Oryzias latipes: one gene and its partner. The protein of the gene in region 2 purifies or fractionates together with the protein of the main gene of each other region. This does not show direct contact. Links are inferred from orthologs where the notes say so. Each region holds a gene or a part of one and is shown on either strand. Other genes may lie near its edges. The genes, in order: naa38 and naa30.

The links.
Region 1: the proteins of naa30 (region 2) and naa38 purify together in Homo sapiens (co-immunoprecipitation; 3 studies listed by BioGRID and IntAct, with this or other methods). This does not show direct contact. The link is inferred for Oryzias latipes from reciprocal best matches to the Homo sapiens genes NAA30 and NAA38.

What each region holds. Positions count from the first base shown.
Region 1 is NC_019876.2:17,554,574-17,561,976, reverse strand, and holds naa38 (N-alpha-acetyltransferase 38, NatC auxiliary subunit), read right to left. Parts: upstream 4,153-7,403; 5' UTR 4,140-4,152; coding exon 4,035-4,139; intron 3,721-4,034; coding exon 3,546-3,720; intron 2,423-3,545; coding exon 2,298-2,422; 3' UTR 1,807-2,297; downstream 1-1,806. Other genes in the region: dnaJ homolog subfamily C member 3, read left to right, coding at 222-367.
Region 2 is NC_019882.2:10,205,315-10,212,625, reverse strand, and holds the start of naa30 (N-alpha-acetyltransferase 30), read right to left. Parts: upstream 4,668-7,311; 5' UTR 4,341-4,667; coding exon 3,612-4,340; intron 1,754-3,611; coding exon 1,630-1,753; intron 329-1,629; coding exon 273-328; intron 1-272. UniProt on the Homo sapiens protein: Catalytic subunit of the N-terminal acetyltransferase C (NatC) complex. Catalyzes acetylation of the N-terminal methionine residues of peptides beginning with Met-Leu-Ala and Met-Leu-Gly.

The DNA of each region.
Region 1 (7,403 bases), on a different chromosome or scaffold from region 2:
CGAAACTGGAGTTTAGCTCGACTGAAAAGAACCAGAAACAGGATGAAGGTTTAGAATTTGCCAACAAAAGTATTTGTCTTTGAAGTCAAAATAAAAGCTAGACTAATGGTGTTGAGGGCCTTTGACTGAGCCTGTCACTCGACATTTTTCACGTGTTTGATTACAAGTTTTCGGTGTTATGAATACAATGTTTTCTTGTTCCTCCTTTCATCCGATTCCAGAAATGAGACAGAAGTTCGACTCGGGCGAGGATCCTCTGGACCCGGAGAACCAGCAGGGCGGAGGCGGCGGTCAGAGGCCGTGGCCTTTCCACTTCAACCCCTTTGATTCTGGAGGCAGCTTCCACTTCAAGTTTGAGTACAACTAGACCCCAGGAGGTTTGTGGATTGGGGACGGACTCCTCAGGACGTCTTCATCTACGTTGGTGCAGTTTCAAAACTTCTGACTTTTCTTCTTCTTCAATCTGGACCTTCCTCTGAATCCAGAGGAAGACTCTAGGAAACCTAAAGGTGGTGGTTACAGGAAACTGAAGCACTTTGTGCCATTTTTGAATCGTCTACAGGCAGGTTTGCCTCTTAGGATTCTTTTTTTCTCAAATGTGACATTTTGGAGTCTCCTCTTTCTATTTAAAGACTTTGAGGAGCTTCCAAAGAAACGATGAGGTTCAAACGTGAAACTTCTGAAGGTTGAAATCCTGTGGATGGAACTCTGTCGTTGCAGTTTTCTGCTTTAAACTGCAGCTCATTGGCCTTTCAAAAAAAAGATGATCAAAATAAAAAAAAGCTGCAAATATATTTAGGTTCAAAGGCTTTAATCTCCAAACGTCCACAAATGGAGAGAAGTTGGAGCTTTTTAAAAGTCCTTCAGAGAACCTGAAGACTCTTTGGTTGCCATCCCAGAAACTGCTTTATAATTAGAACAAGTCAGATGTTCTGCAGAGCCGGAGCTCGAGTTTCTGCGGCGTCTGTATTTCACAAAGACGCGGAGAATGTTTATGCGAAGGCGGAAAACTTAAGGCGGAAGTTTGAGGAAAGAAAACGTGACGGCTGTAGGTGCTGCCATGAAAAACCATGTTACGCCCCATCTCCATTTTATTTCTGTTTGCACAACTTTAAGTTATTTTTACCAGGTTAAGAAATGGAACTGGTTCTACGGCTTACTGTGTGGACTTTAATGTGACCGTATTTAAAGATGAAGTCTCATTTGTTGACGGCATCGATTTACTGTTGCCAAACTGAACCTGCTGACATGTTTTGAGTGTAATAAAACATGTAAATGATTCGTTTGCACTCCTTTTACCTCATTCGTTTGTTTTTCTTTCTTGTTTAGTCCCTTTTTAAATAAAGTTAATTAAAAAAAAAGAGGAAAAACTTAATGCATGCATGTGCATCTTTATATCTTTAGAAGTCCCTTGAGACAAACGGGAAGAAATTCAACTTCCGGGTTGAAGCAGGTTAAAAAAACCAAAGTAATTAGAAAAAGGTGAAGTTCACTAAGGAAACTAAAAGAAGTTCAGGTTTAAGGCATAAATTCAAAACAAAAATATTTAGTCTTGCTCAAAAAACATCTCTTCTTTGCTGGTTACAATATCCATAATGTACTCAAACTTTTACTTTGAAATACTAATTTTACATATGAACTTAAAAATCGTGAACGATTTTTTGACCAATTCAAAACGTACTTTTATTTTGAAAAGATTAGGGTTTGGTGATGTCAGTTTTGCAACGGACATCGCTGCCTTCGCTTTTAAAGTAATCCAATAAATTTGGTCCACTTCCCAAAACGTTTGTTTGACTTGATACAATATACATAACTGTAAAGTTTTATTTTCATTTTATTCATAAACATAAAGATTGCAAAGGTTAGTCTTCTGACTGAAAACTAAAAAGCCTGTTTGTCCTGCCTATATACTTTTATTTTGAAAAAAAGACTAGTTCTGTGATGTCACACGTCAGCCAAAATGGCAGCAATAAACGAAGACATTGCTGGCTTCACTTTTGAAAGAATTTCTAAAATAAAATGTGATCATAATCAGTTTAAAATCCTAAATATGGTCCACATTTCTCATACGGTTCTGCAGGAATCCAAAGCTTCAAACAGAACTTTTATTTTAAAACCACTCCGGCAGAGACGTTTAATCTCAGTCTGTCTCCACTCCTGCAGCCGGCAGAACCTTCCTGTCAGTCTTTGAGGGAACGGCTGAATCCAAACGTTCTGTGATCCACCAACACCAGCGGTCCAACTGTCCAGCAGCAAAGCATGATGGGTGTTGAAGTCTGCAAATGTCCCAGGCTTCCTCAGCAGATGGCTCCAAATCCGTGAGCGTCCTCTAGACTGTCGGCCTCCACCTCGATGGACACCACGTGGTGGCCGGGGATCATGGCCAGGCCCAGCACTCTGGGTTCACCCTGAGAGAACGTGTCTGAGGAAAGAGGACATGGTAGCATCAATGCTCCTTTTCAGGGGGGAAAACCGCCTTAAACCTCAGCCTCTAGAACTACGAGTCCGAGTTTTAAAGGTAGAAAGAAAAAAAAAAAACATTTCGCGACTCAGGAATGTTCCACTAAAACGTTTCTCCTGGTACAGTGGCTAAAGGTGGTCTAAATCTGACTGTATATGAGAACTGGACTGAGTGACCCCTCCCTCCTCACGTTCCAAACAGGAAGTAGCCGCTGGCTCCAAGAAGCTGAACTTCAACTTCCCATAAACTTCAACTGAGAAATAAACAGCCATTACTCAGTCTGAACTACCATTCTTGCTCTGCTACCTTTTTTTAAACATGTTCTTATTAATCTTTTTCTCTGTAGCGCAAATTATTTAAGTTATAAACTGACCAATCAGGTGCCTCAATAAAAGCATGTGGTCTTAAAACAAATGTTCAAAATGTTTGGCAGATGTGTAGCCTGCTTTCACGTGGATGGGGTGTGGTCTTCCAACAAGCTCACTCCTGTTTGGTTAGAGTGGTTGCCATTGGTTCGGACAAATCACCGTTCACTGACCTCGTATGGCTCCAACATGGCGGCGTTTCGCAAATAAAATGGCGCCAGTCCATTTTGTTGGACCTGGAGGTAAGGCGCTTTCTATGGATGACATCACACTCACTCAGTCCAGGTCCTAAATACAGTCAATGGTTTTATGACCTTTTCAAGACTTTTTAAATATGTTGGTTTGTGTTTTTGAAACTTTTTTTAGTGGAAGAACCATGTAACGTTGTTGAACATCTTGTGAAAACACCAGGGATGAGGATTTCATCTCCAAATGACACCACAACAACATAGAAAAGCCACAAACAAGAGTAGTAATAACTAGTTAAGTCTATGAAGACTCTCATTCATCCGGGTTGATTCCATCGTTCTGTTCGGGAACTGACTAAGCTTTTTGGATAAGAGGTGAAACGTCTTCAACTTTAAAAACCAACCAGATGGCAACCTTTCAACCTACTACTATGATGAATAACCAGTTAATATAAAATGTAACCCGATGTTCTGTGTGGAGGAGAACCGGCCAGCTATAACGTCTTCTCTGGTTCCCTCTTGTTTTGTTACCTGGAGATTTGAGGAACTCCTGAGCAGAGCCGAGGATGACGTTGCAGTCGCGGTCCGTGCAGAGGAAGAGCCCCACCAAAGTCCGTCCGTCCGTCATGCGGATCCTCATGTTCTTGTTCAGGAGCCCCTCCAGCTTCTGTCTGGCCTGAGACGAAGGCGGAACCTCGGTCTGCCCCTGGAGGTACACACACAAATGACTAAGAACTGCTGCCAACATTATCACAAAATATCTTAAAACGATGAACACGATTAATAATTGTAGAAGAATTGCAATTATCATATTTTATTCAAAGTAGCTAGTTTGTTTATAATCATGGCTGTGCAGGGCACGTTTTTAGAATGCTATTTTGTTAGCTTCAGGCTAACGTCTTACTTAAAGTATCGATAATCACTTTCTAATCTATCATTTGTTTTCTTCCTTTTTTTAAAAAAAATAGTGTAATGAAAAAAATGTAAATATCGTTACACAAAAACATGACAAATACATACTCGAGTCGAAGGACCGTTTTCCTCGATTATTGTTGCCATAACCTTTTCTTGTTTCTTGCGGAACAAATTTACCGACGGACCAGCTGGACCGGAAGTAGGTCGCATTTGACATTTTTTCCCCCTCCAGAAACGTTATTATAAATGCCAGGTACCGTACAAAAATATAAATATACAACAGACATTAATCCAAACATATAAACAAGGAATAAAAATAATATAAAGTGCCAGAGGTAGAAATGAATATGTAAAATTACATGGGTATGTAAAACTAGATTTAACAAAACTTTACAGATTTAGCATTTTTAAAAAGTTTATGTTGGGATATTTTCAAGCTTTTTGGCTTTTTGTTTTAAACTACTTGATTTTACAAATAAACAGACCTGAAACAAAAATAAAGAAAAGTTTGGGATTTGGTCAGAAAAATTACATTTATGACTAGATTCACTAGTTGCTTTATGGGACGCTGGAGGGAACAATGGAAGACATAAAAAAATGAAAAGATTAGTTGATTGATTGATTGATTGACTGATTGATTGAACATTTCTATGGGGCTAAATTAGGATCAGCTTAAAATGAATAAAAAACCAGATTGTGAATTGGAAGAAAACTGACGTTGTAAATTGAATAACTGGACAACAGTTTTAAACTCAAAGTACACATTGTAAACCTGTAAGAAGTATTGAACATTGTAAAACTAAATTGTAAATTTTAAACGTTAAAAAAAAACAGTTTTTTCGATAACAGCTGTTTATGTTTCTCTTTCCTCACTACGGAGCCTGTGAGCTAACATGGGTAAATAATAATAATTACTTGCCTCAAAAAAATAAAATTCAGATATACATTTATCCTGTTGTATTTGAAAGCAACCTCACTTACAGTGACACGTTGATTGGTCGAGATGCGTTATGGGATATGTGTGATGCATGATGGGATAAGTAGCATGAAGCCTTCGGGTGTAAAGTAACTGCTAACTGTTACTAAAAGACAAGTTACCTCAGCACGTCATGGATATTATTATTCCTGTTCGACCCTAAAATGCAACGCCACATACCGCAGCAACGCTTCGCCTGCTGGCCAGCCAGCTGCCCGAAAGTCGGCGTGCCGACAAGCTCGGCCCTCCTAAATCTTACAATGTTTCTCTTATTTTCAACAGTGATAAATGGATCCCCTAGTTTGATTCTTGTTTTTAATTTTCCCCTCTTGAATTAATGCAGGTCACAGAGACAAAGATGTAGCGGCGGAAAGCTGCTTTTGCGGCAGTCGGGAGAGCGTACCGGGATGTGTATGAACGGGATTATTGATGCTTTTGTGGAGCTTTTTTAAATAAATAAATTGGATCTCTAAACATCCTCTGTGTCTTCTATGCTTTGTATTGAGATATATACAGTCAGAAATGTGAAGGTATCTGCTGTAAATCCAAGTATTGCTCACATCCATGTTTATGAGTGACTTACCACATGAATTTACCCATGTCAGATCACGGGCTCCGTGTCTCGCTCTCAGTCCTCCGTCTACAATTTTAATTCAGACTTTCACAGTTTTCACTGCTGAGCCTAACTTTATGTGACAGGGGAGCTTTGTGCCCATTGGCCACCAAGGTCGGAATCCTGGCTAGGGGGGGGGGGGTCGGGTCGGGTTATGGTGGCTCAAAACAATTACCTGGTAGTTATGACAAAACAACGGTTAGGACAAATTAGGTCTTTGTCCATTAAGAACATTAAGAAATCTTTTTATAAATATATTGAAAGTGTGAAATAAAACGCAGAGTGACCTTTACACTGTAGAAAGAAAACTTATTTGATTTGAGTTTTTGTTATGTTAACCAAAAAATTGAATTTAAAAAAGCATCTAATTTGGATTAAAAAAATAAGGCACAACCTAATCTGAAAAACTCCCATGCGACTTTTGGAAAAAAAAAAAGTCTAAATAAATAAATAAAACATACACTTTGGTTTTTCAACTATGAAGCACAGAGGTGGAGGTTCTTACCGTGTGTTTCAGGCTCATGATCTAGATGTTTGCCATTTAACTCATGGACTGATGAAAAAAATGACCAAATTGGCTTCTGTTCCACAACACTTAAATAAAAAAGTGTCTGTGGAGAAATCTGTTTTTCACCATAAAGGATCTAAAAACTACTTTTCCAAAATAGCCGAGGGATTTTACAAATCATTTTTAACTTTGTGAAAAAATTCCTCTGTGTCTGGTTAAACTTACAGGTCAGTAGGAACTGCTCAGAGATGCTGAACAGTGGTTTTACTGCCATATTAAAGCAGTGAGTTGGAAGCATCTTCCTCTTCTAGAGCATTCTGAAGGTGATTTAAAGGTCGTCCATCAAGCTAATACTTTACTAAAATCAGTCTAAACTTCCAGCTTAACGTGAGCCAAAAGACACAAATCTTTATTTAGGCTAAAATAAGAACTTCCAAACTGATTGATGTCTTCTGCTTCACTGTTGTGGTTGACTGTAGTTTCACTTCATCAGTCTCTGTCAGTGTGCAGCACCTCCGGTCCACCCTTTTTCACATCAGATGTCTTCTTTTCATGGAGACGTTTGTGGTTTTGGTTGTGTGCAGCCCGTCAAAGACCAGCGGCGTCTGAATGGGTCTGTGGGCTGAACCTGATTAGAACATTGTGGAACTAACTAATTCGCTTAAGATCAACTCAGAGTGCAAGCTTTCTTAGCAAAGCATACCCAAACCATCATCCTTCCACCACCGTGCTTTACACGATGGTTTCCCTCTGTCTGCACCGGAAATGAACAGAACAAGAGTCTTTATTGCAACCCTCAAAAATTGTATTTTAGTATTTGAAACTTGATGGATGGATGGATGGATGGATGGATGGATGAATAGATAGATGGAGGCAGAAAATAAATACCACTAAAATAAACAATAAAAAACACAAGGAAGTGTCCGGTGTCACATACATCTTTATACTTAGTACAACATGCGACATGTAGTGAATTGTATTGGACAACTGACCAACAAGAACCTAAGTATAAAAATGGAAAACAATCTGAAAATAATTAAAAATAATACTAGATTGTAGAAACAGCAGTTACAAGGTGTAAAAGAGTCAATCTACTGTTAAGAGTATGAACGTGTATAAAGTGAGTACACTCAAAGCAAATGATCTGTAAAAAAAACATGAATTTGTCCTTGTGTAGCATTGAGAATGTACAATGTAGTCCAACCATCCATCCACAATTCCCCACCAACCAACCATCCATCTATCCATCCAACCAACCAACCAACCATCCATCCATCCAACCAACCATCCATCCATCAAACCAACCATCCATCCAACCAAACATGCACCCATCCACCCAACCATCCATCTATCCAGCCATCCATCAATCCATTCATC
Region 2 (7,311 bases):
ATTATATTGGAGTGAATGGAAATAGATGCCAGCCCCTGGTGGGCATTTGAGGAACTGCAGCATTTTGGTACAGCTGGTGGAGGCATGATTTGAACTAAAAACCAGCAAAGGTAGGCACACACTTGAGGTAAACCCCTTCAGGCACTGCTGTGTCTTTGTGAGATTTGATGCTTTCTAAAAATTCAACATTTTCTCTCCTCTGTTCTGGAGAAAGGATTTAACTGTTCAGTCGAGCTTGAAAGATTAAGGGGACTCTTTTCAGAGTCTGTTACCTCATCACAGTCTCCCTCCACCATGGCATATATGGCCTTTTTCACCAGATTAGTACCTGGAAAAAGACACAGAGTCAGGAAACCTTGACAGAATAATCTATTTCAATGACTGATGCTGCGGCTCGTTCCAGTCTAAACAAAAAAAGTCAGCTTGTGTCTCCTGATGACGAAGAGTCGGTCAACACAAAATGCATTTTAGACATTAAGTCATGGATGGCAGAAAACTTCCTGCAGGTTAACCAGGACAAAACAGAGGTTTTAGTGATCGGTTCTGAAGACAAGAGAGAGATTGTTTTATCTAAACTAAAGACTTACAAAACTTTTCAGTGTGTGAGAAACCTGGGTGTTATTTTTGACTCAGAGATGAACTCAAGATTGATTTTGAAGTTCTTTTATTGGTTTATAAATGTTTTTATGGTCTCGGGCCTTCATATTTATCTAAAGTATGAGCCCTCACGGACCCCGAGGTCCTCTGATACCGGCCTTTTGGTTATCCCAAAAGTTAAACTAAAACATACGGCGAGGCCTCATTCAGTTTTTATGGACCTCGCCTGTGGAACAGCCTCCCAGAGAGCCTCAGGGCCGCAGAGACTGTTAATGTTTTTAAAAGGAGGGCTTAAGACTTACCTTTTTACTCTAGCTTTTAGTTGAATTTTATGAATTTATTTGATATTTTCATTATTTATTTTCTCCTTTTACTAGTTTTATATGTGTATGTATAAACATTTATTTATTTATTTGTATTTATTTATTTTTAATTTTTTTGTCACACTTACCATTTTATGTGTCTATTTAGGTGTTATGTAATTATTTGTTTCTTGTTCATCTTTTAAATATATCTTCATTTGATTCCTTTTATATTTTAGTGTTTTCCTCAGCGATCCTCCACATCAGTGACTGACCTTCTCAGTGAACGGGGTCGCTGCAGTGGGATCTCCCGGGTCTGACTCTTTCGATCGGATCTGGGGGGTTCTGCGGTAGTGGACTCCATGAACTTGGGTGGGGGGGTCACTGATGTGGACATGTCCCCAAAATATCGTTTCCCCATTTCAGGACAAAGCCAGGTCTCTACATTGCATCATTTTATCACTCTTTTTATCATGGTGTGTGTGTGTGTATGTCTGTGTGAGTGTGTGTGTGTGTGGGTGTGTCTGCGTGTGTGTGTGTGTGTGTGTGTGGGGGGGGGTTGGTTGGCATTGTTTGTCTTGTCATTTTGTTTTTAAAGTTTGATTATATTCTATGCAAAGCACTTTGAGTGACATGTGTTGAAAAAGTGCTATATTAATAAAGGTTGATTTGATTTGATAGTTTTTAAATAAAGCTCCTCTTGAAAGTCTGCCACAAAGGCAGAGCTTACCGATGCTTTTCCTTCTGTGCTTGGAGTCCACAGCCAGCATGGCGATGTAGCCGCGGCGAAACATCTTCTTATGCATGTCCAGTTTACAAACGATGGCTCCCACACACTCCTGCTCCACCATGGCCTGAGGACACACAAACATGCTGCCTTCAGGTCCTTCTAGCCCTGCGTGAAGGTTGAAGATCGGTCCGCTGCTAGCTAGCAGCACTTCTACAAAAAGTAGAGGCTGAAGTCTGCTATAACCCTTGTGCTATCCTAGGCACTTTACCATTGGGAGTTGGGTCATCTAGACCCACTAGACAGTGCTCTGAACCTTTTTTCTTCAATGATTTGTGATCCTCACTGGTGTCCAGAGATTACATGAAATCTTTCCACCTTTATCATGGTAGGGAGAACATGTCAATGTAAGGGTGGGGTCATCTAAGATAGCACAAGGGTCAAAGGTGAGGGATGCTTTGTAAAGTACACACATTCATATCTAAGAAAAACAAAACAAAAAAGATATTTTTTAGCTTTTTAACACTGGGGAAAGTCGCCGGCAACACCTGAATAACACACACTCTCTGACATAACGTTAACTCCTCAACCATTTACTCCATCAGTGCGACTCAGCCGCAGAAAAAAGGGGCTTTGTACAGACATGCAATACTTTACGACAGTAAACGTAATGTTTTGGCGCAGAGCTACTTTTCTCTGCCACAGAATCCACTGGAATGACGTTAATTGCAAAACCAGCTGAAGAGTTGCATGGAAAGACCGTCAACACTGGAGCTAGCGAGGGTTAAATAAAGCTGGAGGAAAATGCTGGGATCCACACACACACATCCCACTGCCTGTATATGAGAGCTGGACCGTCACTAGGGCTGCACGACACGAGGAAAACCCGCCATGTCCGATATTAGTGATCATCATTGCAAAGACTATATCACTTGCGATACATGAAAAGCTAAATAACTGATGCATCATTTCCAATTTGCTGTAACATTTTGTTTGAATCAAACTCACCATAACTTCAATTATTCTCCAAATGACCCACATAGGAAAGCGGCTTGTAGGTAACCATTTATGTCGTCTTTTGTTATAGGCGCATTGAGCTTACTGATGACTGAGACTGACCTGTTTATTTCTCTATAGAAGTCTATGAGATTTTGGCTTCTTGGAGTCAGCCGGAACTTCCTGTTTGGAACACCGGGGGGGGGGGGGGGGGGGGGGGGGGGGGGGTCACTCAGTCCAGTTCTTATATACAGACAATGGTTTGTACATCATTTCTATTGACTTCAATCCTATATGACTGTTGTTAGAAGACACTTTGATCCTGAATTTAAGACAACAAAAACCAACAAAGTTATTTGTTAAAAGGGACAAAACAAAGACAACCTCTGAGTCCTTTTAACACCATACCATATGAATAAAAACCTTTGAATGTTGTCAAAATGTGTTTACATTTAGATCAAGTTCATTTGAAAAACTTTATTTAAAACGCATCATACAACAGCAGAGATCTTTTCTGCTGCTTTTAAAACGGTGTGGAAAGAAAGCAACAACAAAAAATGGCCAAAAATGATCAATACCATATTTGATCAATTTTTAATGTTTAATAACAGTTGACAATAGTTTTACAGTTATCCCAGAAAGGGCATTAGTCAAAGAAAAAGTCTAGATCCCCTGTTTATCACTCACTGTGACTATTGTCTAGATGTATTTTTGCTTTTGTAACATTTTGAAGTGAAAGAGTTGTAGTAAATTAAGAGTTTTAGGGAGAACTCTAGCTGGTTGCTATAGTTTCATCAAATTAGGTAACTACCATTGTCAGATTATAGGCGTTTGTGCTGGGCACGTGACCATTTCAATCATCTGGAGCAAACAGATCATAACCAGACTTTCCAGGTGAGTGTTTGTAGTGGTCATGTGACCTGTGGCACGTGGGCAGCAGGCTGGTTTGGAGGTGTTTTTGGGTGGAGGGGGATCGGAGTTGGACTCACCAGAAAGCAGAGCTGCGGCCAGTTGTGGATGAAGTACCTGTAGGTGTAAATGGAGTAAGGCTCGGACAAGTCCTTCGTGATCAGTCTCATGATCCACGGCATCTGCAGCTCCGATTCGTAGCGCACGTAGCGGATGCCGTGGCTGTCCGGCCCGGGAGAGCCACTCAGGTCAAGCCGGGCTAGCTCGGCGGCGGGCGGATCCGAGGAGCTCTCCTCTCCGCCGGGCCCGGCAGCGTCCGGGGACTCGTGGCCTGGCGGTCTGGAGGGCTGCTTGTGTTTGTCGGCTCCGCGGGCCGCCTCGGACCTCGAGAAGTCCGGCATGCCGTTAAGGTGAGCGCCGTTCTCGGACACGGGGCCTTCGCGCTCCGCCGGCGCTCCATCGCCGCTGTCAGTGTCAGCGGGAGACCTCAGACTCTCGGGCCGGACGTCGGGCTCCTCGGAGGGGCTGACCACGCCGTTCAGCTGCTGCTCTCCGCTCTGAGGCTTGAGGTGCAGCACCGCCGGGCTAGTTTGAGTTAGCATACCTTTCTGCTTCCTCTTTACCGAGCGTTTAACGTCGTTCAACGGATGAGACTCGTCCCTCGTGCCGGCAGACACGCAGTCATTCGCGAGGCAGGGCGGCTGTCCGTCTTCCACCACCGGCTGCGCGCTTCTGTCCCCGGAGAAGGGATGACTGTCAGCCGGGGACGCAAGCAGAGCTTCACTAGGCCCGGGCGGCACTGTGGCCATCCCACTGCGTTAGAGCGGAGATCCACGCGGTGGACACGGGCTCATCAACGAAACCGAGCGGAACACCGGCAGTCGATTCGAAGTTCGGAGATTTTTTCCCGAATCCTCGGAGTCTGGAGCCAAAAGGTCCTCCGGTGAACACCACGGCTCTCTGCTGTCTGCTGCTCTACCTGCTGCCGTAAAGTGCCTGTCGCACCCAAAGGACGTTTTGCGACAGTGAGCTGCCATGACAGTTGTAGTTTTAGGAACAAGTGAAAATGTAGGTTAGAAATTGTGTAAAACACTAGTATATGCACAAAATTACAACCCATCAAGCACAAATAAAATATTTTGCTGACAAAAAATAAATAAACAATGAAACTAAAATAAATGGGGGGAAATATTTGACCTAAACCGCGTGCAACAACTCTACTATTCAGTTTCTATTTAACAATTTCATGCATTTCAAGACCTATTTAGTTTGGTGTCAAAAATGCAACACAACGACCGAGAAACAAGAGAAAAAAAGGTATTGAATCAGCACAAACCCATGAACACGCAGCAATACCCAGTTTGAGAACCCAAACAAAATCTAAGCTTTGTAAATTCATCCTTTTACCTGTAACAGTATTAGAAAATGATTCCTGCAGGAACTGTTTTACTTCTATGGTAAGCCCAACCTGACTTCCCATAATCCCTTTGTTTACACTCTCTCCTGCTAGCTCACAGCCCCTTACAACCCCAAGCTAACATTACCATTGAAAAAAAGATGGCGAGCAATATAAGAGCTTTCCAGCCGTACAGTTTTGAGCCAGATACCAGGTTGGACGAGGAAAACAAAGAAAACGGGGTACGTCACAGCTACAGGCTTTTTTTTAACGATTTTTTTGATTCATCACAATTTGAATAAAGAAATACTCAGAAAAGTAGTTTTAATCTTAATTTCCTGTTTATTTGTCCTCTATCATCAGAAAAAATGCCACAAGAACATGTTAAACAAACCAAAAAAACACGCGTTTCATTGCAGCAAGTCTTTAAAGGAAGATTAAATGATCCATGATAAAAACACAAAATTTAATATAAATCAGAGTGCAGTGTTTTAAATGGAAGTGGAAATCTATCAAAATATATAGTTTTTGGTTGCAGAAGGGTCAATAAACAAGACAGCAGTGGATGCAGTTTGTTTTTCCAGATAGAGTTTTTAATTATTTGCGGTGAGGTTTGAAGTGGGAGGTTTGGCTATGTTTTATTACTCAAAAGAGACTTGAGCTTATCATCTAGCCACCTTCCAAACCCACTTAACCCTCTAACATCAAAGCTTTTGCTCCAATGTTGATGTTTTTTCGACTACCGTTACTGTCCGACCTATTACCCAAATAACATAATTCCAGTGGATCCTGTCGGGAGAAAAGCGCGGTTATGCAACATTAAAGTAGGGTACACCCGGGATGGTCCGTCGGCTCATTGCAGACCCCAGAGCTTATTGTGGGTGGCATAACGCCCCAAACTATTTGTGCTACCTAATAGTTACCGGAGAGAAAGAAGAAAAATAATCAGCTTCCCACACATACATGGGAGTTTTGCAGAAATGGCTCCTGGGGGATAAGGTGGAGATCATAAGAACAGCTATCTATCAAAACAAAAATAATTGGATTGATGTCAGTAATACAACTTTAAAAGCAACGTTAGCTTACATCCAGTAATTTATCTTAAGCCTGTCTGAGATGAACCAACCTAATGTTGGCAACACAATGGAGCACAGGACCAGTCATGCAGCTAATGTGTTTCTTTGAACAACCTAAAACCTGTTTCCTTCTGCTGTTGATATTTTGGCCTAAAGGCCTGTTCACACCGGGACGAATTTCGCCGGCGATTTTCGCCGACGTTTAACGCCTCGTGACTAAACAAAGGGCACCAACGAGAGTGTGCACACCGACGCGAAAAAACGCCAGGCGTTAAAGCGTCAAAAAAAAAAAAACGCCTCGGGTTCGTTTTTTTTTTTTCGACGCGTCGCGTCGAAATCTACTCGACCAATGAGAACGGCGCTTTTGCTCACGTGTCTGGAGCTTCTGAAGTTACAGTAAAACACAACTTGGGGGCGCTCAAACACAAAACTGCCTTGCTGAGCACACATACCAGCGAAGAAGATAGACGCCAAGTAGCGTCTACACTGCCGCGAAGAAATAATGACGGACATTCTAAAATATCCCCGAACCAAGCACCAGTTGGAGCTACTGGTGCTTGAAATATTCATGTTTTCTTTGTTTGATTCTGACAAGCGTGTAAATACTTGCTCTCTTCTTCTGAGTGAAAAGCGACTTTCAGAAGCGTAAAGTTGCGCAGCGCCACCTTGTGTACAGGAGTATTTCTGTTTTACATTAAGCGCCATCTAATGTCAGGGAATGAAATTGCATGTTCACTCCACTCATCGTCAGCGAAAATCGCCTGGGTGTGAACACAAAAAACGTGGCGAAAAACGCTGGCGAATAACGCCTGGCGAATATTCGTCCCGGTGTGTACGGGCCTTAACAGTCAGACACAAGGAACTGTAGCCAGGCCAAACCCAGTCTGACTAATCACAGCCTGAATACTCCCACAGCAGACAATTAGCATCTTGCTTTCATGTGTAAAATGAGTGAGGCAAGAGGAGGGAGGAGTCTGTGTGAAGGAAACAGGCAGAGAAGAAAAGCCCAATTAAGAATTTGGGTGAGAAATGAACCATCTGCTGCTGAGTGATACGAGTTCTCCAGGAGAAATTAGCTCGGACTCGTAAGATAATGATTTTGGACAATCATCCTACTTTTTGTTTTAATAAAATGCCCGGATGCCTGTCCGTCAGTCCATAGAAAGACCAGATGCAGTTTGGGGCCTGTTGCGTTGTGTACTTGACTGTGTGTGCATGTGGCTTACCAAGGCTTTGAAAGCAATCAAAGCTGCTGCACACCATTTTTAAAGAGTCAGTATGATAAAATGTAAGGAAATATGGCTCCAG